3 linked regions of the Arabidopsis thaliana genome follow. The protein of the gene in region 2 interacts with the protein of the main gene of each other region in a pairwise test. Each region holds a gene or a part of one and is shown on either strand. Other genes may lie near its edges.

What was found.
Region 1: the proteins of SQS1 (region 2) and AT5G59650 interact in a protein complementation assay, tested with the Arabidopsis thaliana proteins (one large-scale study listed by BioGRID).
Region 3: the proteins of SQS1 (region 2) and NLM1 interact in a two-hybrid assay, tested with the Arabidopsis thaliana proteins (one large-scale study listed by BioGRID).

What each region holds. Positions count from the first base shown.
Region 1 is NC_003076.8:24,027,679-24,036,503, reverse strand, and holds AT5G59650 (Leucine-rich repeat protein kinase family protein), read right to left. Parts: upstream 5,159-8,825; coding exon 5,077-5,158; intron 4,967-5,076; coding exon 4,429-4,966; intron 4,321-4,428; coding exon 3,865-4,320; coding exon of another isoform or gene 3,842-3,864; intron 3,783-3,841; coding exon 3,588-3,782; intron 3,502-3,587; coding exon 3,430-3,501; intron 3,346-3,429; coding exon 3,274-3,345; intron 3,188-3,273; coding exon 3,119-3,187; intron 3,024-3,118; coding exon 2,857-3,023; intron 2,766-2,856; coding exon 2,524-2,765; intron 2,453-2,523; coding exon 2,326-2,452; intron 2,247-2,325; coding exon 2,181-2,246; intron 2,098-2,180; coding exon 1,908-2,097; intron 1,807-1,907; coding exon 1,404-1,806; downstream 1-1,403. Other genes in the region: AT5G59660 (Leucine-rich repeat protein kinase family protein), read right to left, coding at 67-190, 253-356, 442-592, 700-817. UniProt on the Arabidopsis thaliana protein: Required for accurate photosynthesis.
Region 2 is NC_003075.7:16,535,625-16,544,549, forward strand, and holds SQS1 (squalene synthase 1), read left to right. Parts: upstream 1-2,564; 5' UTR 2,565-2,864; coding exon 2,865-3,059; intron 3,060-3,077; exon of another isoform or gene 3,078-3,296; coding exon of another isoform or gene 3,297-3,326; intron 3,327-3,417; coding exon 3,418-3,460; intron 3,461-3,609; coding exon 3,610-3,699; intron 3,700-3,790; coding exon 3,791-3,866; intron 3,867-4,027; coding exon 4,028-4,097; intron 4,098-4,371; coding exon 4,372-4,521; intron 4,522-4,629; coding exon 4,630-4,734; intron 4,735-4,836; coding exon 4,837-4,983; intron 4,984-5,158; coding exon 5,159-5,234; intron 5,235-5,394; coding exon 5,395-5,483; intron 5,484-5,580; coding exon 5,581-5,672; intron 5,673-5,838; coding exon 5,839-5,881; intron 5,882-5,974; coding exon 5,975-6,031; 3' UTR 6,032-6,400; downstream 6,401-8,925. Other genes in the region: SSR16 (small subunit ribosomal protein 16), read right to left, coding at 193-238, 336-468; AT4G34630 (prostatic spermine-binding-like protein), read right to left, coding at 1,469-2,068; SQS2 (squalene synthase 2), read left to right, coding at 6,753-6,947, 7,032-7,074, 7,208-7,297, 7,385-7,460, 7,588-7,657, 7,762-7,911, 8,013-8,117, 8,198-8,344 and 3 more.
Region 3 is NC_003075.7:10,420,118-10,427,431, forward strand, and holds NLM1 (NOD26-like major intrinsic protein 1), read right to left. Parts: upstream 3,392-7,314; 5' UTR 3,293-3,391; coding exon 3,125-3,292; intron 3,013-3,124; coding exon 2,788-3,012; intron 2,364-2,787; coding exon 2,145-2,363; coding exon of another isoform or gene 2,094-2,144; exon of another isoform or gene 1,994-2,093; coding exon 1,932-1,993; coding exon of another isoform or gene 1,928-1,931; exon of another isoform or gene 1,828-1,927; coding exon 1,611-1,827; 3' UTR 1,404-1,610; downstream 1-1,403. Other genes in the region: CMT2 (chromomethylase 2), read left to right, coding at 165-208, 292-361, 446-549, 654-819. UniProt on the Arabidopsis thaliana protein: Water channel probably required to promote glycerol permeability and water transport across cell membranes.

The sequences.
Region 1 (8,825 bases), on a different chromosome or scaffold from region 2:
TGAAAACAACCCTTGTATTGAAACAGAGCAGAAAGAACAAACAATGATCAGTTGAAGTTAACTTACCGTAGATCAGATCCTGACTTGCTAAGATATGTTCGTGATAAAAGATTCAAGGAACCAGACTTAGTGATATAAGAACCATTTCCCATAATTCCAAAGCCGATATTAGCGGTATAGTTTCCCCAGTCTTAACAAGACAAATCTGCAAAGAGTTTGATGTTGGGATGTGTAAGATCTCTTCCGCTGTACCATTAACTTCTGTTTGCAAATCCACCGTGGCCCATAGATTAGGTCCAAGATACAGATCAAACTTTGGCTTAAGGTCAAAACCATCATAATTTCCATATACAAACCTAGCCACAATCAAATGTGTCCTGCCCTTCTCAACGTTTAGATTGTAGCAGTTCCTTATTCCATCTGGAAAATATCTCAGCGTACGGCTTAGCGTATCCCTGAGGATTTTCTCGGATTCGACCGTTTTTTCCACTACGTATGAACTTTTCATCCGAAGAGAACCGCAGTCCAGTGAAACTCTCTTCATAAGGAGACAGTTCATTCGCAGGGAGTCCGCAATCCAAACTGATGAATCCTGTTGGCAGACATTTATAAAGATTATTCTTTAAAACAATGCACTTCTGAGAACCAAAAAGTTTGTAAAAGAATGTGTTTAAAAGGGAAAAAAAAGGTTTCTGATACCTTGTTGGTCTTGAGCTCGAACAATATGAATGATGGAGACTAGCAGGAACAAAAGGCCAAGAGAATTCTTCATATAATCATCTTCTCTAACCTTCCAAGGAAAAATCAAGAAAACCATTTGGCTAGGAAGAAAATGTAAAAGCCGAAAGAAAGACTTTGCCAAGCCAAAAGAAATGAGTAAATGCATTTTCTATTCAACAAAATGAATAAGAAAAAGAGGACAGCAAAGTCCCAACATCACTATCATGAACTCAATCATGGAAGATATGGAGCAGACCCAGAAGCACGTTAAGCAATAAACTATCACATCAATTATATTTGACATAGCCTTAAGTGAATGGTGAGCCTAATAATTTCAGAGTACAGATAAATGTATGTTGAGAAATCACAATCCATAATCTGTTTCTTTAATTTTATATACTATTTGACAGTTTTAAATCAATACTCTTCCAACCATTTTACAAATATTTAACCAAAATCATTTGTTTGTTAATGATGGAACCACAAAGAGGTATACTCTTTTACGGTCAATGATTATTAGCATCCAAGCCACACATACAAAGAATGAAAACATCACTAAGCACACATAAAATAATGAAAACATCACCAAGTAACAGGGTATATGATCTTGGCATGTGGATGATCAAAGCAAACATGACCAATAGCCCAACTAATTAGCATGGTTGTGTTACCTGCAGCACATACTACCTTGCCCTCGGAAACAACTCTGTGTCAAAGCTCATGCTCACTTTAAGAGAATTCTGAGAGTCCATATTCATATTTTCCCTCAAGTTTTCAGAAACAAGACATTCTTTCAGTTCATTAGCAACTTGGGACATGTTTGGTCGGTTCACAGAAGAAGGATTCGCACACGACATTGCCAGTTCAAGAACTCTCCATACAGAACGAGATTCGTAATCCCCGTTCAGGTTTGGATCCATGATCTTAGTAATATCTCCTCGGGTAAGCTCAAATCCAACCCATTGTGATATGTGAGACTTTGAACGGGACTGGTCAATCACAGGTTGGTTTGTGATAATCTCCAATAACACAATTCCGAAGCTGTACACATCGCTCTTCTCACCCAGTCGAGTTGTCTGGTAATATCTGCACGGCAAAAGTACATGGTTATACTCTCTAACCAATATATAAAGTGCAAAATGACAACTCACTTTCAGCACATTGTAATGGTAACTAACGACACTTACTCAGGATCAAGGTATCCAGGAGTACCAGCAACCACAGTTGAAATATGTGTTTCACCTCCAATAGGGAAAGATCTCGAAAGGCCGAAATCGGCAAGCTTGGCCTTTAACTGTTCGTCCAGCAATATGTTTGTCGTTTTTATATCTCTATGTACAATTGGTGGTGTGCATCCAGAATGTAGATATTCCAATCCTATTCAAAGGAATGATTATTTGTTAGTCCACCAGAAGGAAAGTCATTTTAAGCTGCCAATATTGGCTAATAAGCTTACGAACCTAGTGCAGCCTCCAGAGCTATTCGTAGACGATTACCCCAGTTGATAAAGGACCCACCGCTTTTTCCTGAATACTTGATTCTTTAGATCCTTGGGAACGTTGAAACATATATACACTTTCGAATCATGAAGAAATTCAAGTTTACCAGATAGATGTTGTCTTAAGTCTCCCTTGGGCAAAAACTCATAGATGAGAGCCAAGTGATCTCTTTCATCGCAATATCCAACAAGACTCACCAAATTTGTATGGTGAACTCGTAGAAGAAGATCAACCTAATCATTCATGGGAAATAAAAGTAAGAGAAAGCGTTAGATGGTCATATTTTTAAGAAGATTATGCATACCTCTGCCTTAAAATGCTTATATCCTTGACTTGATGATTGAGAGAGAACTTTAACAGCCACCTGTTCAGAACCATTTATAGTACCATGACAAACAACACCGAATCCTCCTTCCCCTACAACTCTTTGAAAATTATTCGTCATTTTGATAACCTCTGAATAAGTAAACCTTCTCTTTTTCGTCTCGATTGATGGTTCAGGTGAATTATCATGAACCATTGGCATACTCAGTGGAGGTTGTAGAGCTATAGATAAGAAAGAAAAAAAGTAGGGTATGTAAGAATTCATCGATTTGTTGCAGTTTCTTGATTTGATGAGAGATCTCCTGCAAATTACCTCCCACAGTAGATGACTTTTTCTTACTGAGAACAAAAATAATAACCAACACAGCAACAATTATGGCCACAGAAGCAACTGATGCAACAATCACCACCGGGAATTTCTTCTTCGAGTTTTTTTCTGTGCAGGAACCAGAGAGACAAAGCCTTGGGTTGCCTTGAACTCTGCAAGAAAAAGAGTGTTGTTAAAAACATCAAATCACAAAAGGGCTGTGGAAAATAACTGTGGAATATTAAAAAGTACGTGGGAAGTTTCTTACAGTAATTCTAGTCCCTCTCTTCGAAGACCTTGAGGAAGGGGACCACTAAGATTGTTGCCGCTTAAGTTTCTATTAAAGAAGAGCAATCTTCATGCATACAGACACATGAACCAAAGGAGAACTGAAAGTAAACGAAAATATGCTGAGCAACTTACATGATCACCAACGATTTCATCTGGGCTAGAAATTCCGGCACCACTCCAGTTAGTGTGTTATTTGACAAGTCCCTAAAAGTTTATTTCCAAAATAAAGTAGAGCTCATTAGGTTTTCCTCCATCAACAAAACCAATATTAACTATGGCCATACTTACAGTTTTTCTAAATGTGTAAGGTTTTGAATTGCGGCCGCAATGATTCCAGTTAAACCGCTCGAAGACAAATTTCTGGTGATTCCAAAGCATGATAGTTAACTTATTTTGAAGATAAGTGTCAAAGTGTGCATGTTCATATCTTGGATCTTACGACTTACAAGGATAATACTCTTGGAGGTTTAGAAACATCTGTGTTGTTGCTACAGTTCAAACCATCCCACGCATACTTTTGAGGGACGCAAGGATCTCCTTGCCACCTGATTCTACTCAATTTATAGGCAGCTTCGATATTTTTAACAGCAACCACTGATGTAGAGCTCAAGGATGTGAGAATTAGCAGGTGAAGTTGATTTCTCTAGTTAAAAAAAAAAAACAGACTGTATCTGCATAACAATGAAGATAAGTAACATACCATCATTTTCATTTGTTTCCGACCGTGGAAATTGGATAACTGTGTAGATTTCAAGAGCGTTAAGTAGAGAAGGAAGAGTTGACCTCGAGGTTTTTATTAGCTGGTAAATGCAATTTTCTCCTTTGCATGTCACTGGAGAAAGATTATGGATAGTAGTCACCCCTAACTTTGGAGGGATGAAACCTTCTTCAACAACAGCTCCATCCCATAATATGTCAAATTCTCTGGTATCATTGGTCTGTAAATCTTGTATCTCAGAGAAGTGGCTGTACAAGTAATATTGGTCACCAGGATTGTCTGGTGGCCAACTGATTGTCAATGGCGCGCTGGCATTAGAAGGCGTGGCAGCCGCTGCAAGAGCCTTTTTTGGTGGTTCATAATTGTTATCATTGGTCACTTCGAGAGTGGTGAAAATTTGGGTCCAATCATCCACCATAAAGTAATTATGCCATCTGCGATCATAAATATCATCCGGGTACCTATGTGGAACAAAGGTTGTATTATCCTTGAATAAGTATAGGAATGTTAAAAATAAAGAGTATAGGAATATAGAATCCATCACTGTTAACCAAAAAAAAAACACTTACCGAAGAAAGCCATCTGTCTTGTTGAGATATATCCGAACGAAAAGATTCAAAGAACCATCTGTGAGATAAGAATTATTTCCTAATGGCCGTAATTCCAAGGCTGAGATCAAGGGTGTAGTTGTCCCTGTCTTAACAAGACAAACGTTCAAAGAGTTTGATGTTGGAGTGTGAAGGATCTCCTCCATTGTACCATTCACAAACTTTTGCAAATCTATAGTTGCCCACAGATTAGGTCCTAGATGCAGTTCAAATATCGGGTTAGAGTTACGACCATCGTAATTCCCATAAATGAACCTAGCCCTGATCAAATATTTCCTGTTCTTGTCAACACTCAAACTATAGCAGTTCCTTCTCTCCTCTGGAAAATACCTCAGCCTCGTGTACGGCTTAAGGTAGTCATTCTCCATACTCGCCTGGATTTTACCACTTTCACCAGTCTGGATGAATTCAGCATCAGACGAGAACCGTAGTCCGGTTACTGACTCAGTATAAGAAGACGGTTCAGTCATGGGTAACCCGCAATCCAAACTGATAAACTCTGTTAAGAGAGTGAAAAATCAAAAGCATCTCAGATACAAACATAACTAAGACTCGAATCAGTAAGAAGTAGTAGTGTAATATACATATAAACCATTAAGATTTAGGTACCTTGTTGATCCTGAGCTTGAACACAACCAATAATGGCAAAAGCTCCTAATAGCAGCAGCAAAAGCCAACAAGGACTATCCATAATTGCTTTTAGATATCAAAACCTTACCAATGCCAGAGTTTGAGAGAAACACAGCGTATAAATAGATAAACCCAAGAAACAGTCCAAGCCTCTGGCAACATGGCAAGATGTCCTGAGTCAGTGAAACGAATGAGTAAATGTGTTTTCTATTGCAACTTTACAATTACAAATTTGATTTGTCCCAAGAATGTCAGAATATATGCAACTTGTATTTAGAAAAAATAATATGCAACTTCTGTGTTTTTAAGAGAATATGTCAATAGAGGGTTTTACAGTCACCACTCTTTTAACGCATTAAAAAATGTTCACACAGAGAGAAAGCAAGAGATTTGACTTTCTAGTGGTCAGTGACTTTGATTGAATCATATCGGATAATTTATCACTAATTAATACACATTTTGACGTCTTCATCGACAAGAACAGCTTCTAATCACAAAGCAGAGGATTCACATTTATCAACAATGACTATTATCTAAAGAGAAGTGGGTCAACATGAAGAAACAAATTTCAAGACAAAGACGCCATTATCAGATATCTAAAATCATAAAGTTCAAATTTTTAAAGGATTTTCAGTTACATCATAAACTGAGAAATTACCTTCCGGCCATGAAACTGAGAGAATTTTGATTCCATCTCTTTGAGCCGGCCCAATAACTTTTGTGAGGAGGAGGACGAATGTGAGGAATCTCCGGAGATAAATCGGCCATATACGGCAGCGAAATCTCCCGTCGTGAGAAGGACGGCGATGACAATGAGACCTCTTCATCGGCGATTAGCACTGTTTGAGAACGCGATTGGCGATTTGGAGTGCTGGAGAGTAGCGTTTTAAACGCAACGGTATGTATATTTTTCAACGTTGCTATAATAACAGAAATAATTGTTATGGGCCAAACATGGGTTTTATCAGCCCATTAAACAGAAAATAATGAATTTGGAGTGCTGGAAACACGGTCGCTGGAGAGTAGCTTTTTTAAACGCAACGGTATGTATATTATTCAAGCTTACTTACAGAGTTTCTAGTTGCGTAAGATTTTGAATCGCAGCAGCCATGGTTCCAGTTAGACCACTTGAAGACAAGTTTCTGGTGACATGTCCAAAACCACATTCAAGTGTCACAACTACTAACGGATATTGAAGAGCGTCTGGTCAGAAATCGATATTCTTACGAAAAAATTACGGTCATTATTTTCGTCAGAAAATTGTGACCATTTTCATACAAAATTGTGACGTATTTATTTGGTCATAAAAACGTTACTATTTCGTTATAATATTATGACTTAATTGAATGTAACTAATGTTTGTCACTAATTATGTCAAATTTGTTACAAATTATATAGTCATAAATATAAGTACGGATTTGCGACCAAATATAGTAACTAAATTATACGATAATTGTGACTGAATTTATGTCATGTATAGTTACGAGAATTTTGTAACAACGATGACACAATTTGTCACTGTTTTAGTGACTTTTGCGTTTGGTCATAGATTGTGACATAAGTGTTACCAATTTTAATACAAAAATAAAAACTTGTGAACAAAAAATTAAATAAAAAAACTTCTTCAGTTTTGGAAACAATGTTTTTGATAATACAAAAAAAGCTGTAAAAAGTCCAAATGAAAAAAAAAATTATTCGGATTCGTCACTAGTTAATTCGATATCAGAATTTCCATCTTCAGCATCTGATCCATCTTCGGCTTCTACTACTGGATCATCAAGATCTTCTGGTTGGGCATCTAGATATGATAGTGTCTCGATTTGTAATGAATCAACTTCAACAATAGAATCATCGTTATCATGCTGCATTGCAGTGAAATCCAGATTTTTGTTATCAATACTTTCCCTCTCGGTTGTATCATAATTGCTGCTTCCCATTGTTGATCTTTTCTCGGCTGAGTCATCCGTGGATATGGAACATAACATACCTGATCTGCTTGTGAAGCCAAAACAAAAGGATCATACTCTTCATAATGCCTTTTAGCATTAATATCAATAATCCCTGACTTGTTTCTTCGTATACCTCTCCCAACTTTTGAATCATACCAATCACACTTGAAGACCACGACCTTGAGATCAACATGTCCAGGATAATGAAGCTCATAAATTTCTCTCAATATTCCATAGAAATCAGCTTCTTCATTTGAGCTAGAAGATGTTGTACCTTTGACACAAACTCCATAATTGGCATTCTTTTTGTTCTTTCCATGATCATATGTATGAAATATGTATCCACGACAAAAATACATTGGCCAACAAGTAACTTTAACCATTGGACCATGAACAATACTCAACAACCACTCTGGATATGAATTATCCTTCCAAGTATCCTCCACCTGATTCAATATAAAAAGACACATACTATATTATAAGCTATCAAGTATTTATCTCATATAAAAAAAAAATATCTTACATATTTTTTTAACCAGCTTGAATATTGCTTTTCTCTAAGCTCATTTAGATCTTTTTCACTTATCCCAGGATTAGCCGCGATCAAGCTCTCATCAAACAACCTATATATACATATATAACCATGAAAAATATTTACAATGTCTTTTACTAATTCTACAAAAAAAAACAAAATCCATACAGATGTCCAAATTATTTTGTCATACCTTTCAAATGGTCTTAATTGATCGCAGTTCCGCAAAATATATCTATGTGCGATATGGTAATCTTTATCTTGGAGCCATATCTCACTTTCTTTCCCACTGTCTCTTCCTGCCTGAGAAAATATATCTGGAACTCCATCAAACTCATGTGTATCTTCTTGATTACCACCATCATAGTGTCGATCTCCTGCTCGATTTTTTGTCTTGATGTGTCGATCAAAATAATAAGTACAAAAAGTAGAAATTTCTTCATTGATGTATTGCTCAACGATCGAACCTTCTACTTTTGCCTTATTTTTCACCTTTTTTTTTAGATGTCCCATGTATCGTTCAAAACAATACATCCATCTAAACTGCACAGGTCCTCCAAGACTAGCTTCGTGTGGCAAGTGAATTAGCAAGTGCTCCATGACATCAAAAAAAGAAGGAGGAAATATTTTCTCGAGGTTACAAAGAACCATACAAATATTTTTTTGCAACATTTCAATACCATCTTTGTGTATAGTTCTTGCGCATAGGTCCCGAAAAAATAAGCTAACACCTACACATATAAAAAATAACTGTTATATGAAGAAATGGTAAATATTCTCAAAACAATATGAACAAAAAAGTTAATGATAATTTAAAAATATTCTCATATCTATATGTTTTTTTATCTCTATGAGCTATATAATTATGATTTTTTTAAAAAAAATTAAATGCAGAAAATTACAATCATGCTCACCTTCCAATTTAAAAATTAATAGATTCACATAAATAAAAATATCGCTATCAACGGTCTTAATTAAAAACTAAAAAAAATAACATAAAAATGCAGAGAGATTAAAATAAATTAATCGAATGTTGAAACTTACTAGATAGCGCATCGTGTACAGATTTATCCATAAGCTCAGCAAAAGCTATTGGAAAGAGTCTTTGCATTAAAACATGACAATCATGACTTTTCATCCCTGTTAATTTTCTTCCTGGTAGATCAACACAGTTAGCTAAACTTGATGAATATCCATCTGAAAATTTAACATCTTTTTCGAGCCATCGTAGAAATATCTCTTTGGCA
Region 2 (8,925 bases):
AAAGACAAACAAGAAAACACATTCATGAGGAATAATCAATCATATGGATAATGTCGAGAAAGAGACTCTTTAGTGTTTCAGTCTTATCAAACAATCATGAGTTTCACATCTAACTGGTGTCCTAAAATACTTGACACAATTATACAAGCAAACAGGAATATGAAGATGATAGAACAAGTAAAAAAAACATACTTGATTCTGTCGAATTTGAGGCTCACTCTATCCGCATCTTCTTTGCCTGAAGACGTACAAGTAGATTCATGATAGCAGAGACATTAGGAAGTGTTCAATTTTACTGAGAATTGAGAAATGTATATAGAGGAGAAATAACGAACCTTGGAGTGGATCATAAAAGCCTAACACCTCGATTTGTTTACCGTCCCTGCGCGATTTTTCATCGGCGACAACTACACGATAGAAGGGTCGGTGTTTACAACCAAGACGCGCGAGCCTTATCTTCACCGTCATCTCTGCTTGGAAATTGAGGTCTGAGAAGTGAGAAGAAAGAAGATAAGTAAAGGTTTTTATTTAAGCTGGTGGGTTTTGGCTTTTTCCCCTTATCTGTGTTCTCTTTCTTCTGTTACGATCGTTATTGATAAGATGGGCCATGTTGGGCCAGTTTACATTTTATCTCTTTATTCACATTAAGCCCATTAGATCTGCTATACGTTTCTTTTCGTGATTTGCTATACAGAAGTCACTTATCTAAAATCTCGGATTATCCAGAAATTCCAAAATATTCAATCAGCTTCCTGTCTTTAAGGATCTTCCTAAAAGAAATTGCTTCAAAATGTTCAATTTGAGAACACCAGCATCTTGTTATCGTATAGGTGTTTGACTGTTAGTAGAGAGATATACGAAGTCCATAGTGCATGCAACAAGTTAGATATAATAAAATAAAATAAAGTTATCTCCAGTCTCAACCACTCAGATGTCGAAATTCAGAGTGATGCGTACATCCTACGAGTATGACTTTTCAAACAACCACCAACATTCACAAAAATTGCAAAAGCTTCTACAAAGATAACCAAATTAACCACCACCAAACACAAACCTTCTTCCTGTTAAATCATTGCTACAGTTTAGCTGTCGTTTTCAATTCTAAGGTTCACACAAGATTAAACGAGCTCATCTATCAAGAGTTATTATGATCCATTCATCATCTTCTCCATTTCAACACTACAATTTGCTAACCCAAGATTCACAATCACAATCTGATCAACCAAATTAAAGAGCCATCAAAGAAAGCGATCAGTTAATGAACAATGAATCCTAAAATGCGAGTTATTTAATTTCCATCATGTACAATGAGATCTTCAGAAGCATCCGAATTACTTACTACTAAAGAGGAATTGAAATTGAACTAACAAATTTACACATCAATTAAACCCAGAAACTGAGAAATTCTACCGAGAGTTCTTGAAGAAACCATCCCATCGCCTTGTGAAACTTCGAAATCCCAACACAATCAGCACTTGAATTTCATGCCGAGACCATGCTTACCACGAACGATACCAGGCTTCAAAAACGGAGATATCTTCGAGGCATAGACCTTGGCGATTGCTCTTTTCCCCAGTTTCCTCATCCTTTGTCTCCCCACCTTCTTACTCACGCTACGCGGAACCAACTCTTCGTCAAGATCATACGAATCGTCGTACTCGCGATCTTCTTCGCCGTCGTCATTAACACTATCTCCGTACGTAATTCCAACAGAATAACCAGAACCTCCACCGAGAAACATCATCCGCTGCTGAGACCATCCAAGATCATTCTCATCAACTTCATCGCGAACGACATCATCGCCAACATCATCATCACCATCCAGATCCACGGCGAGATCACCACCGTCAGCAATAGGAATTATCTCATGCGGCGGAGAAATGACAGAGGGTGCGACAAAGGAAGCGTCGTCAAGAGATATGACGTCATCGTCGGAAAGACTATCGACGGAGAAAGAATCGTCGGAGAACTCGCCATCAGAAGGATTAACAACTTCCCAGAGATCGAGATCAACTTCTTGATCGAGAATGAGAGGAGACATGGTGATAACCCTAGATCGCTGCGCCATTTTCGAAATTGTGTGTTGTTTAGAGGTTGCTTCTTTGATTTTTCAAGACTGTTTGTTTTTGATAACCAGAGGAAGTTACCCTATTAATAGAGGCAAACCACCGAGTGTTATCTTGTGCTAATTGGTAGTTACACTGTTGAAGATACGTATTTACAACCAGTTATATGTTGCCACGTAAGGATTATTTTGCCACCTCAGCGTCGCCAGAAAGTTTGCCAGTAAATAAATAAGTGGACATGTAAATTTGATGTCGTACATTTATGATAATAAAAACTAAAAAGATACCTTTTCTTCCATTTTTTTAGAATATACCTTTTTTTCCTTTCAACATCTATAATTTGATCATTTCTTTCTAATTTTGTTAATTTCTGATTATATTAAACACATTTTCTCTGTTTTCTGTTTTTTTAATCTAATTAACACATAAGAAAAAGGGAGTTAAAAAGAATAAATGTACTCTCCATTTCCATTTGATGATATTCTTTAAGTTTCGTGGCTCTTTTTCAATTTCATTGGCTCTGACATTTTGTTTTTAATTAAAAAGGAAGAAACAAACAAAATGTGAATCCTTGTGAGTTGGCTCACTGGCAAAAAAGAAAGAAAAAAAATTCAGAAGCCTTTGTTTTCATCGATGAATAAATTAACAAACAAAACTAAAAAATAGGATATTCGCTGGCCGAATCGCGTCGATCCACATCGCAGGTGAGGGTTCCTGCAATTTATCCCTCGTGGTCTCTGAATCTCAGATCGTCGTCAACGAATCCTCCATTTTCTGAATCAAAATTTTCTGGAAACAATGGGGAGCTTGGGGACGATGCTGAGATATCCGGATGACATATATCCGCTCCTGAAGATGAAACGAGCGATTGAGAAAGCGGAGAAGCAGATCCCTCCTGAGCCACACTGGGGTTTCTGCTATTCGATGCTCCACAAGGTTTCTCGAAGCTTTTCTCTCGTTATTCAGCAACTCAACACCGAGCTCCGTAACGCCGTAAGTTCTTCTCGCTCTCGGCCTCTGTGTTGGTCAACGTCTTCAATTTTTGGAGGAATCCAGATATCTGACACTCATTTATTGTTGACGTCGGCGATGATTGGTTTCTTCTGTAGAATCCGATGGCTTTGAGAGTTTGTGTTCCACTTAGTTCAATATGAGTTATGCAGATTCTTATTAATTGATTCTGCAGTTTCTTCTGAGCTGCAGTAAATGCAGATTGTATTTTAGTGAACTATGATTCGATATGTTTCCACATATAAAATGGTGTGTGTGTTCGATCACATGCTATCAGTGTAGCTGTGTTCAGTCTTGCAGCATTTTCTTATTCAATTTTTTTTTTTTTTTCATTTTGTAGGTGTGTGTGTTCTACTTGGTTCTCCGAGCTCTTGATACTGTTGGTTAGTGTCTCTTAACTTTGCTTTCAAGATTACCTTGATACGATGAGGCTTCTCCAAAATCTGCTATATTTCTGTTTTGAAATGCTTTTATGTTAGAGCCATCTTTCTTCTTCGTGCTTCTGCTGCTAATATTATTTTTTGTACGACAGAGGATGATACTAGCATACCAACTGATGAAAAGGTTCCCATCCTGATAGCTTTTCACCGGCACATATACGATACTGATTGGCATTATTCATGCAAGTCTGAAGAGTCTCTTAACATCTTCATCTTTCACATTCCATTAATCTTTGACTGTCTAACTGACAAATTTTACTTGTTCAACTTTAGGTGGTACGAAGGAGTACAAGATTCTAATGGACCAATTTCACCATGTTTCTGCAGCTTTTTTGGAACTTGAAAAAGGGTTAGTTCTAATATTTGCTATACGCACTTCTGTTCTACTTTATAGATTTTTTCTGCTCATGTTGTCTCACGTTTATTGAGTTACTCAATTTGTTGATACTCTTATCTGCTTTCTGACAATACTAATTACCTCATTTTTAACATATGCTTTTGTATATGAAGGTATCAAGAGGCTATCGAGGAAATTACTAGAAGAATGGGTGCAGGGATGGCCAAGTTTATCTGCCAAGAGGTCTGTGATACAGAGCAGTTTTCGTAGTTGGATTTGTTTTTGAGTTATGGTGACAAAATGTCTTGAGCTGGACTGAGGTCTCTGTTTCAGTTAGAATTCTGTCATGCTTAATCTTTTCATAAGTCATAAATATTGGAATGCCTCATGTGATGCTTCTATGATATGACAAGTAGTAATTGTATTGAAAGTACCAAAACTTATTTATAAGTTTTGTAAAGAAATGAAATCATTTGTTTACCGATCCAGTTGATCCAGTTTTCACTATTATACACAGGTAGAAACTGTTGATGACTACGATGAATACTGCCACTATGTTGCTGGGCTTGTTGGTTTAGGTTTGTCGAAACTCTTCCTCGCTGCAGGATCAGAGGTTTTGACACCAGATTGGGAGGCGATTTCCAATTCAATGGGTTTATTTCTGCAGGTACAACAATGTATTTTGAGGTGTACAATGTTTCTTCTTCCTCAAATCTTTTGCAATTTCGGACAATTTCTATCATTGAATGATTTATAACACTGGTCTTATTTGCAGAAAACAAACATTATCAGAGATTATCTTGAGGACATTAATGAGATACCAAAATCCCGCATGTTTTGGCCTCGCGAGATTTGGGGCAAATATGCTGACAAGCTTGAGGTGCATACATACCACTCTCAAGCTCTCATCTTAGGTCTGATGTTACCCATATTGACTATTTTCTGACAGTGCCTTTTTGGTGATTTGTAAATTGTAATGTAGGATTTAAAATACGAGGAGAACACAAACAAATCCGTACAGTGCTTAAATGAAATGGTTACCAATGCGTTGATGCATATTGAAGATTGCCTGAAATACATGGTTTCCTTGCGTGATCCTTCCATATTTCGGTTCTGTGCCATCCCTCAGGTTAGAGAACGAAATATCACATAATTGTTAAGTCTTTAAACTTCACATTGAGAACTGTTTATATTGTTTTCCTCTTCATATGGAATTAGGTATTCTCCTCTTTAACTACGTCTGCACTAATATAGAATGCCTTAGAAGTTAATATTGCTTTGCTTGGGTGTATTTTCTTGATTAGATCATGGCGATTGGAACACTTGCATTATGCTATAACAATGAACAAGTATTCAGAGGCGTTGTGAAACTGAGGCGAGGTAAGATGTTAAGCCTTAGAAATTATGTAGGCCAATCCCTAATTTCTATTTATGAGAAAGGAAAACCCGTTATCTTTTATTATCAACGAGCTTGAGAACGTGTAGTAGCTAGCCTTATTATCTGAAGGCTAATATCGCTGAACAACTATCTATTGTTTAGGTCTTACTGCTAAAGTCATTGATCGTACAAAGACAATGGCTGATGTCTATGGTGCTTTCTATGATTTTTCCTGCATGCTGAAGACAAAGGTAGTCATCAGTTCCATGTTTGTGATTAGTTTTTCACTCAGTTTCTGTTTAAAGAAAAGAATCATATGTGAATTTTCTATCGACATATATGACATAGGTTGACAAGAACGATCCAAATGCCAGTAAGACACTAAACCGACTTGAAGCCGTTCAGAAACTCTGCAGAGACGCTGGAGTTCTTCAAAACAGGTACAGTCTTTTATTTAATCCCAAAAGCTGCATTAAATCCTCTCACTAAGAAACTGGTCACAAGCACCTATAACTAATCTTCCAAGTATTCTAGAATAGGATGATATTATCATAATCTTTCTTTCTGGTTGGGTTTCTGCTGAATCATTGTGTCTCTTCCTTTCAGAAAATCTTATGTTAATGACAAAGGACAACCAAACAGTGTCTTTGTAAGTTACATAGTTTCCCTTTTCCATATAAGTATCTCATTTTTAAAAAAATACATAAAACTTATATTCTATATATTCTACCCGAAAATGCAGATTATAATGGTTGTGATTCTACTGGCCATAGTCTTTGCATATCTCAGAGCAAACTGAGTGATCCATGTAAGCGAGTCTGATTGTATCACCATCATTCAAGATGTTCAGAGCAAATTTGAGTGATGAAGTAATCTAGGTTGATTCTTATTCACGCCACTGAATCCTAAGCAAGATTGTTTCCAGAACAAACAGAGTTTAAGCATGGTTTAGTCTAAAACCATGGATTCTATTTTAGTTACTACCTTCGTTATCTAAACGTGCATTTGTTCATCTATTTTTATTCCTTGTGTTTAAAGTTCTTTCTTTGTTTAGTTGCGTTTCTTCTTTCGTTCTCTTTTGGCATGTTTTAAGATTAATTTTACCAACAACAACCAGATAAAATCCAAATGCAATAAGAAAGAAAGAAAAATGACAATCGAAGACTGAAATCTCTTCTTTCTTTTTAGGTCGGCAAAAAAGTCTCTTCAAAGTATATAAAACAAAAACATGAATCAAGATTAGATTTATCTTTTTAACGTTAAGTGTGTAGCACGCGGCAAGCAATTTAAATGCAAAAATAGAACATAGTTGGACCAGTAACATGTATCACCGTGGCAAGCTTAAGAGCAAGGCTAATAGCGATTCTGTGGAAGTGCAAGGTATGCAAAGGCCGTGGGGTCTATTGATTTATTAATAGGGCCATATTTGTTGAATTATAGCACATGGCCTACCATTTTGTTCCCCAACAAATCCTCCATTGTTTCAAACGAGTTCTGTTTTTTCTCCTCTGTTTCTAAAAATGGGAAGCTTGAGTACGATTTTGAGACATCCGGATGAGTTATATCCGCTCTTGAAGTTGAAACTTGCGATTACGAAAGCTCAGAAGCAGATTCCACTTGAGCCACACTTAGCTTTCTGTTATTCAATTCTTCACAAAGTTTCTAAAAGCTTTTCTCTTGTTATTCAACAACTTGGCACCGAGCTTCGTAACGCCGTATGTTTTTTTTTTTTTCTATATATAGCTATGTTACATTTTTAGTTACAGCAATATTTCAAACATTTTCTTTGTTTTTATTAGGTGTGTGTGTTCTACTTGATTCTCCGAGCTCTTGATACTGTTGGTTAGTGCTTCATAACTATAGTATCCATATATTACCTTTGATTTGATGAGTCTTCTTCTCCAAGTCTTTTGGTTTTTTAATTCTTGATGATAGAAAAAGTTAGTATCATCTTCTCATATTTTTGCTACTACAGAGGATGACACAAGCGTACCAGTGGAGATCAAAGTTCCAATTCTGATAGCTTTCCACCGTCATATATACGATGGTGACTGGCATTTTTCATGTAAGTAATAAGAAGAGACTTTTCACATCTTAACCTTTCAGATGAAATTCTTTTCTTTTAACTTAATTACTCTTCATTCAATTTTAGGTGGTACAAAAGAGTATAAACTTCTAATGGACCAATTTCACCATGTTTCTGCAGCTTTTCTGAAACTTGAAAAAGGGTTAATTTGCTATATACAAATTCTGTTCTGTTTTTTATAAATGTTCTTGCTCATTTATTGATTGATCTACTGAATTTGGTGATACTAATTTTATGTTTTGTTTTACTAACTTATATATACAAAAAAGGTATCAAGAGGCTATTGAAGATATAACTAAAAGAATGGGTGCAGGAATGGCCAAGTTCATTTGCAAGGAGGTTTGTGATACACAGAATCTTTGTGATGTAGATTTTATTTTTTTCAGTTTTGAAGTTAAGCATCAAAACTTCTGAAGAGCTGAACTTATTTGTGTATTGGACAGGTAGAAACAATTGATGACTATGATGAATACTGCCATTATGCTGCAGGACTTGTTGGTTTAGGTTTGTCAAAAATCTTCATTGCTTCGGAATTAGAAATACTGACTCCAGATTGGAAGCAGATTTCAAATTCTACAGGTTTATTTCTGCAGGTATTCATTACAATGGTATAATATTGACATGTACAAGGTTTCTTCCTCAAATGTTTTTTGCAATCTTTGAAGTCTTTTGTATGTTATATCTTATTTGCTAGAAAACAAACATTATCAAAGATTATCTTGAAGACATTAATGAGAGACCAAAGTCGCGCATGTTTTGGCCTCGTGAGATTTGGGGAAAATATGTTGACAAACTTGAGGTACATAAACTTCACTCTCAAGCTCTCATCTGAAGATCTTATATTATAAAAAACAAATGTGACTCTTTCTAATAATGTAGGACTTCAAAAATGAGGAGAAAGCTACAAAAGCAGTGCAGTGTTTGAATGAAATGGTCACTAATGCATTGAATCATGTTGAAGATTGTTTGAAATCCTTGGCTTCACTGCGTGATCCTGCAATATTTCAGTCTTGCGCCATCCCTCAGGTTAGAGAAAAAAAACAAAATTCATCCCCTCTAATCTAATATTTTACTCTGCTTCAAATATCAACCAGAGAAATGTTTATGTTGATGTGACATTTTCTGTTTATTTGGATTAGATCGTGGCGATTGGAACACTTGCGTTATGCTATAACAATGTACAAGTGTTTAGAGGTGTCGTGAGATTGAGACGAGGTAAAATGTTTTATCTTGGGATTGGTTTTCAATCTGACACAATTTCATCATCTGAATCCCAAGGCTATTAACTTGTGAGTTATGTTCTATGTGAAAGATTATTTATTGACAAACAATTATATTGTGTAGGTCTAATAGCTAAAGTCATTGATCGCACAAAGACAATGGATGATGTCTACGGTGCGTTCTATGATTTTTCTTGCATGCTACAAACAAAGGTATGTATACGTTACTACATTTCCTGTGTATAGTGTTGGTAACTAGAAGATGAGATTGTATGTGTTTTAATATTAGGTTGACAATAACGATCCAAATGCTATGAAAACATTAAACCGACTCGAAACCATCAAGAAATTTTGCAAAGAAAATGGAGGACTTCACAAAAGGTAGAC
Region 3 (7,314 bases), 6.1 Mb from region 2:
ACTGAGCCATACCAAAATTACATGAGTTATCGATGAAACTACACATTAGTGCTGAAATTCTCAAGCTAATGTCATTCTGCTTGTTAAGTCTGCTGTCAACAGTTCTCATAATCCCAAAAATTAATATATGTGTACTGAATCAGCTCACTTGTGGCCCTCCTTAGGTACCAGGATACGTCTTTACTTTTCAGCAAGGGAAATCTAAAAGGTATACTCTTACACTCCTCCGCCTGAAACTATTTGTTGAAGCTTTCATGTTTTTAAGTCTCTCTGGATTTATAAAATTCGCAGACCGTTTGCTCGTCTTTGGTGGGATGAAACTGTTCCAACCGTTCTAACAGTCCCAACATGCCACAGTCAGGTACCCTCAAAGCCATTCCAGGTTTTAACATAATACCATATTTTAAATTCTTAAAAGTTTCTATAAGAAGTTTGCTATTTGCAGGCGTTATTGCATCCTGAGCAAGATCGAGTGCTAACCATAAGAGAATCTGCACGGCTTCAAGGTTTCCCTGATTACTTCCAGTTCTGTGGAACCATTAAAGAAAGGTACTTGCTTTTGTTCATTTGGAAAAAATTATAAGAACCAGGACAATAGTTTCAGACTACTAAGCAAATGCGAATATCATTTCACTTCTTCTCACTATCTACAGGTATTGTCAGATTGGAAATGCAGTGGCAGTCTCGGTTTCTCGTGCTTTAGGTTATTCGCTTGGTATGGCTTTTCGTGGTCTAGCCCGCGACGAGCATCTTATAAAACTTCCCCAAAACTTTTCGCATTCAACTTACCCTCAGCTTCAAGAAACCATTCCTCATTGAAGCAGAGGACATTAAACAAGTTTGTTATTAGTTCCTCTCCATGAGGCTTCGTCAAAATGATCAATTTTGTTCTTTAGTTTTTCCTTGTGTTAGTGAATTGTGACATCATAGCGGCTGGCCAGCTCAGTCTACTATGCTCGATCGAAATTTCGGTTTGATTAGGATTTTTCGATTAGTAAATTCTTCAAAAATTAATCTTATTTTAGCCAACTAATATGTAATTTATTCTTTGTTGGGTAATTAGATGAATAATAATTGGTCTTCTTTCTCACATTTTAGTGGATGAAAAGTTTCCTCATTGTTTTCTTCTTTATTCATCACAAATGAAAAGTTTCCTGATGTTGCATGAGAAAAATATGAGGTGAATGATTTGGGATGTGTGCCATTCGTTAGAGATTGGTATGTGGTGGATGATGTTTAGTTTTGATCTATCAGGTCAAACCAACACGTGCCGTGCCCGGCTTTTAAGTTCTATGGACAAAAGTATTGCCCCACTAGGCAAATGATTGTGACTCCGGATCTTGTGCTTTCCTTTGACAAATTCCAAATTCTACATATTCAACAATTTTGCTTAAAACTTTAAAGTTTGATCTTTCTAGAATTGAATTTTATTATTTAAAAAATATACGATACAGTTACACATTAATAACAAGATAGAGAATCTTGGCGTTAACAATAAAAGAGATAAACGTAGCAATTAATACAAAGGCCATATACGTAAGGTGTGGTGAAAGTTGTTACATTCATTTGAAAATACTCCATCAACTCCACCCATGTTTTCTTTTCTCTTATCAAGTGCTACCGATTCTCACGGTCTTTAGAAATGAACCACTTTTAGTGATTTCTCGCAATGGTTTATCGGTATATCTAACTGTGTTATAAACCCATGCACCCGCAATCGCACCAAGAGTTGGCGCAACTAAGTATATCCAAATTCCTTTGTAGCAACCATAGACCAGTGCAGGTCCTAAACTTCTTCCTGGATTCATCGACGCACTCGATACCGGTCTAATAAAATTGATGAACATAACCGTATAAATCATTTTTTGGAATTCTTACTCTAAAAAAAAAAAGTATAAGCACAATAATAGAAATGGTAACTGATAACTTACGCGGCAATTAGCACGTTAAGTAGCACCGTTGATCCTATTGCTAATCCAGCAAGTTCTCCGATCTGAATATTGCAGCATTTGGTCCCAATGTTAAGTTTCTCGTAAATTTAAAGACCACAGAAAACAAATGTAACTTCTGAGAGGGAGCAGTAATTAATAACACTAATATAAGCCATCGAATTTGACAACATAAGAAGATATGAAAATACTAACCGCTCTATTATCGGTAGCAACGCCAGAAATGATGAACATTAGATAGAAAGTGACGATAAACTCCATCGTAAACGCCTGAAGATCTGATCCCACTGGTGATGATCCGATAAACACATCGTGTTTTCCGCTACAAACGTCGTGATCAAGTCCGAACAACAACCGTAATGTCGCAGCCGCGAGCGTTGATCCTATCACTTGTGATATGACATAAGCTGGAACCTAAAAAAATTCAAAGAACAAAAATAAAATAAATTAATTCACCAGTTCACACTAACTAGGGAAGGGACCCAATCTTGGAAGATATTTTGACGTTTATATAACAAAATATGGACGTGTGGAAAAACTATATACATACAAAAGTTACATAACATTTTAATTTATTTTGGAAACTAGCAAAAGTAGATTTGTCCTTACGTATCTTCACTCATCTATAGTAAACGTTGCATTAAAAACGCTACGTATTTGAATAACCCAAAGTCTCGTGTGCAATACAAGCAACCGATAGCTAAACTAGATCAATGGAAACAAAATACACTAATGTTCTTTAATTAGTTTGTTCATGAAACTCAAAAACACACATAAAATACAAAACTTGATCGATCATTATATAAAGGCTATATGTAATTGTGTATGTGTTAAGGACCTGTTTGAGAGGGAAACGGCCACAAGAGGCGAAGGCAATGGTAACGGCCGGATTGATATGAGCACCAGAGATGTGACCAAGAGAGTAAATGAGGACCATAATGGTGAGTCCCCAAACGATAGCGATCCCTGGAAGAGTCACGACATTGTCGTTTTGCATGTTTACAACCACCGATGCACAACCGGTGAATACCAAAAAGTAGGTTCCAAGAAACTCCGCGATCAACTGAAAACATAGCGTAAATAAAACCGAGATGTCTTGTGAATTGGTACAAAACAGAGTCTTTTCATTTATAACTTGTAAAACATGTTGGATATGGAGAGTTAAAAGTAAAAACCTTTTGTAAGAAAGGGACAGAGACTGAGAGTAGAGAGTCTTGTTTCTTCAAGGGTCTTGGGTTATGAATGTCTTCCATTTCTTGTTGATGTTCGACTTCATCCTTGAGATTCACCATTACTACTTCTTCTCTGGCGTTGCCATAGCCGTTTCCCGAGATATCCGCCATAAGTGACTTTTCTCTTTTTAGAAACAAAGAAGAGGAAAAGGATTGAACTATAAACGACTGTTTATGACTTGTGAGAATGAGAAGTTTGGTAGCGATTATCTCCTATTTATTGGCAAACATGGGGGAGAGAGAGACTTCTTTGACGATTTTAATATTACCAGTTTATTAATTGAAAAAAAGAAGAAGATGATATATTGTTAATAAAGCTTTTTTAATAATAATAAATTCCTATGTTTGTGGAGATTCTATACCAGGTCTCAAATTCAATTTTCAGGGATTACAATTTTTTCTTAGATCAACAAATATAAAATTTATCGAAAATTTTAGAATGCTACATGCAGAATTTGTTTGTTTTGATCTTGTGTGTTGTGCAGAGAGCCTATATCATTCGTGCATGTCGTACATGCATAACCATCCGCGCCTAGGATTCAAATGTTGCATACTTGCAATCTACTTTTTGTTTTTAAATTTTTATTCTACTTTCCAAATATTCATTTATAATCACATAAGTATATATACGTCATTTTATGCGTTGTTTGTATTTCACATAAGTATTCATTTAGAACATCTCATATCGAATTCTGAATTTCGGATATAAAGTCACCGGTCATATGTTGTTACACCCAAATTTGTTCGTATCATATAAACAAAACAAAATTATGTCATGCAAACTATAGAATAAACTATATCATTTATGAGAAATTGAAAAATGTCACTAGATGGAATTGATGATGGCCTCTTTAAGTCTTCAACTACCAAGCGGGTAATACGGACATACTTTATTTAGCTTATAGTTGTGCATGTGTACATATGTACACAACATTATAAAAATTACTAAAAAATTTCAAGATATTTTATATATACCTTGATGCCAACGTAACAATCTTGATTGCGATCCGTAAACTTAATGTAGTGTACTGTTTGGATCCGATCATATCAACCTCAGGTTTGAATCCATACTAACATATAACTAAATGTTAATTATGATCAGAATGTTTTATTTGCGACAATACTCAAAATGTCATCTCTAGATTAGGTTAAGTTCGAACCCTCTTTAATGGATGTTAGAATGTAGGGTTGTGGCCACGGGCCACCAGAGAAAAAATGAAGTTTCTTTATAATGTACAATTTGAATTATCAGTAAATTAGCAATGTTAATTCCACATGTAAACACGTATGCTGGTTAATGGTGACAAGACAAATCTTAAAGACTTTCATGTTACGTATCGATCCAGATGTGCATGATGTATGGTGCCAAAAAAATAGGAGGAGTGAATATGAATTGAAATTGAGAACATACATATATGCAAAGGGAAGGTAAATAAAGAATATTTCAGAAAGAAAAAGAAACATTGATGTAAATGTAGGAGTATCAAAGTCGATCAAAATTAGTAGATCATTGACTTAACTCAACCAATGAATTGACTATCATTTTATATTATTTTAATAAGTTGATGAAATAAATGAGTTGAATGGACTGATGAATTATGGGGGCTACTTAATGTTTCCACCACGACACTCGGATTCAATTCATTAACTTTTTTACATCATCATAACTTTATTATAATCGATGATATCAAACCCATCATGATATAATCATACACCATCATATTCATCATCATCAACATCATTTCATCAGCATGACTTCCGAAGCTATTATACGTGTGCTAGATCTATATCTTTGTACGATGTGAGAGTGTTACGAGTAGTATGTGTGCATAAAGTAAATGAGACATAAATTTGTTAACGGGTCTGTTCACAACTTACATGTCAAAAATTTCTACCAAAACTATGTAACTTTTTTTATTATGACGCTCCACAATTTCTCGCTACAATGTTATTCCGTAATTTTATATTTTTAATTGCAATATATCTGGTTTACGTATCAAAGATAATGCAAAGGAAAATTTTATATAGATATTATCTTCATCTAAAATGGTTTATCAGTATATGTATTAATGTTAAAACACATTATCAATTTCACCAGGTTTTAAATAGAAATTCCAAAAAAATATATATCTAAATTTGTTTTTTGAATTTTATCTAAAAATCTTATGTGATTTCTTAAAATGCAGATATTGTAATTCAAAACCATTAATTGAATTAAAATATATTTTAATTTTTTGTAATTTTTGGAAATCATTGAATGAGATAAGATTTTGGTTCTATGTCCAAATTAGTGCAAAATCAGGAACTTGTAAGTTGTAACTAAAAGAAGCCAGGAAGGCAATTTTTTTTTCTAACTTCAGAATGCATACTTGTAATATTTTATTAAGTTTGGTTTAAATTTGAAGGTGCCACGGATCACGGGAAATCGTTTTTATTACTAATATGTTTGAGTCAAATTTCAGTCACATGTATAGTAACTGTATAATTCAAGATATGCTAAATATCTTTTAAAACTTTTGTACAACTGTATTTTAAAATCATGAATTGGATTGACATGTAATTTTCTTTTATTTTATTCGGAAATTATTGGTCGAATAATATGAAATTTGTAGTTATATATAATTTTCAAAATTAGTTCGAATCATCAATAAAAACCTCCATTATTTTTTTGCTGAAAAGATAATTTTATTTTAATTAATCAGGCCAAGCTTTGTAAGCCGAAAGACATTGTCGGGTCCAAAAAATGAAACAGTACACGTACATTAATCGAGGTTATGGTTACGTAGAAAGAAAAATATATAATCTAGTTTTTCGTTAACATTAAGGCTCAAAATAGAGCATTTCGTCTACACAACCACACTTAAATTCAGTTTTTTTACCAATTAGCTAAACAAATTATATTTGAATATAGTTTATATATAATTTTCCCGGCACTTCGGAAATGCATTGTAGTAAAACCATCGTATATTTTGACATATTAATATATTATGTTCGCATGAGAAAGGAAGGTTTTTAACTTCATCATACATACTTGTAATATTTTATTAAGTTTGATTTAAAAGGTGCCATGGATCACGGGAAATCATTTTTATTACTATTAAGTTTGATTCAAATTTCAGTCACATGTTTGGTAATCATTCTAAGATATGCTTAATATCTGTACAACCATCTTTTTGAGTTTTGACCATGGAACCAAAATTCGATAAGATTTCACGTCGAGAACAATAGTATAAAATTGATGTTACATTTATTTCACAACTTGAAATAAATAATGCTACACCGAATAAGATATATTTTGTTTAATAAATAGAAAAAATGAAACCTCTTTCCTGTAGAGGTGAAAATAATATTATTGTATATGAGTGTTTTTTCTTTGCTTAAACTTTTTCTTGTTTTGTTTTTTACATGTTAAATTTACTGACCAACAAAAAAACTTTATGTACAAAGTTTTGAAAGAAAATCGAAGACATGTAATCCTATTTGGGATCCACTTATCAATCACACGGATGAGGAGGGTAACCGACCTGTAAATATGATTATGGTGCCTCTCATTTCGTTCCCTTAAAATGTCATAGATGGTTATCTCGAAGGTCATACGAATTAAGAGATAAAAGATGCAAGTGTATGTCAAAACCGTTAAACTTACTAAATTATAATAATACTCTAGAACATTTTACATGCCACTCTTATTATATATTTTTGGATAAGCCAATGAAGGAGTTTTGGATGCTTTAAGTTCCGCACACTCTTAGATTTTCTTCGTTTATATTGTAACTATTCATACAAAATGAAAGGTGAGCTCTCTAATCAACGTTATATTTTCAGTTTCGATATGTTTCTTTGACTTTCTTTTTTTTTTTTTTTTTTTTTTTTTTTTTTTGAATACCAGGAGGTTCTGGGCCGAAGCCCGTAATCCCTCCAGGCCCGAAACCACAACATGTAATATTAGTTTCGTTCCAAGCATTACTCGAACCGGCGACCTCTAAGCTTCGCCTAGGGTCTTTACCAATTGAGCTAACGACACTTGGTTTTCTTTGTCGTTATACTTAAACCATTAATACAACAAATCTCTTATACATGTTCTTCAAACTTGTGAATTGACACTAACAAATTTGGGTATCCATCGGGCAGTC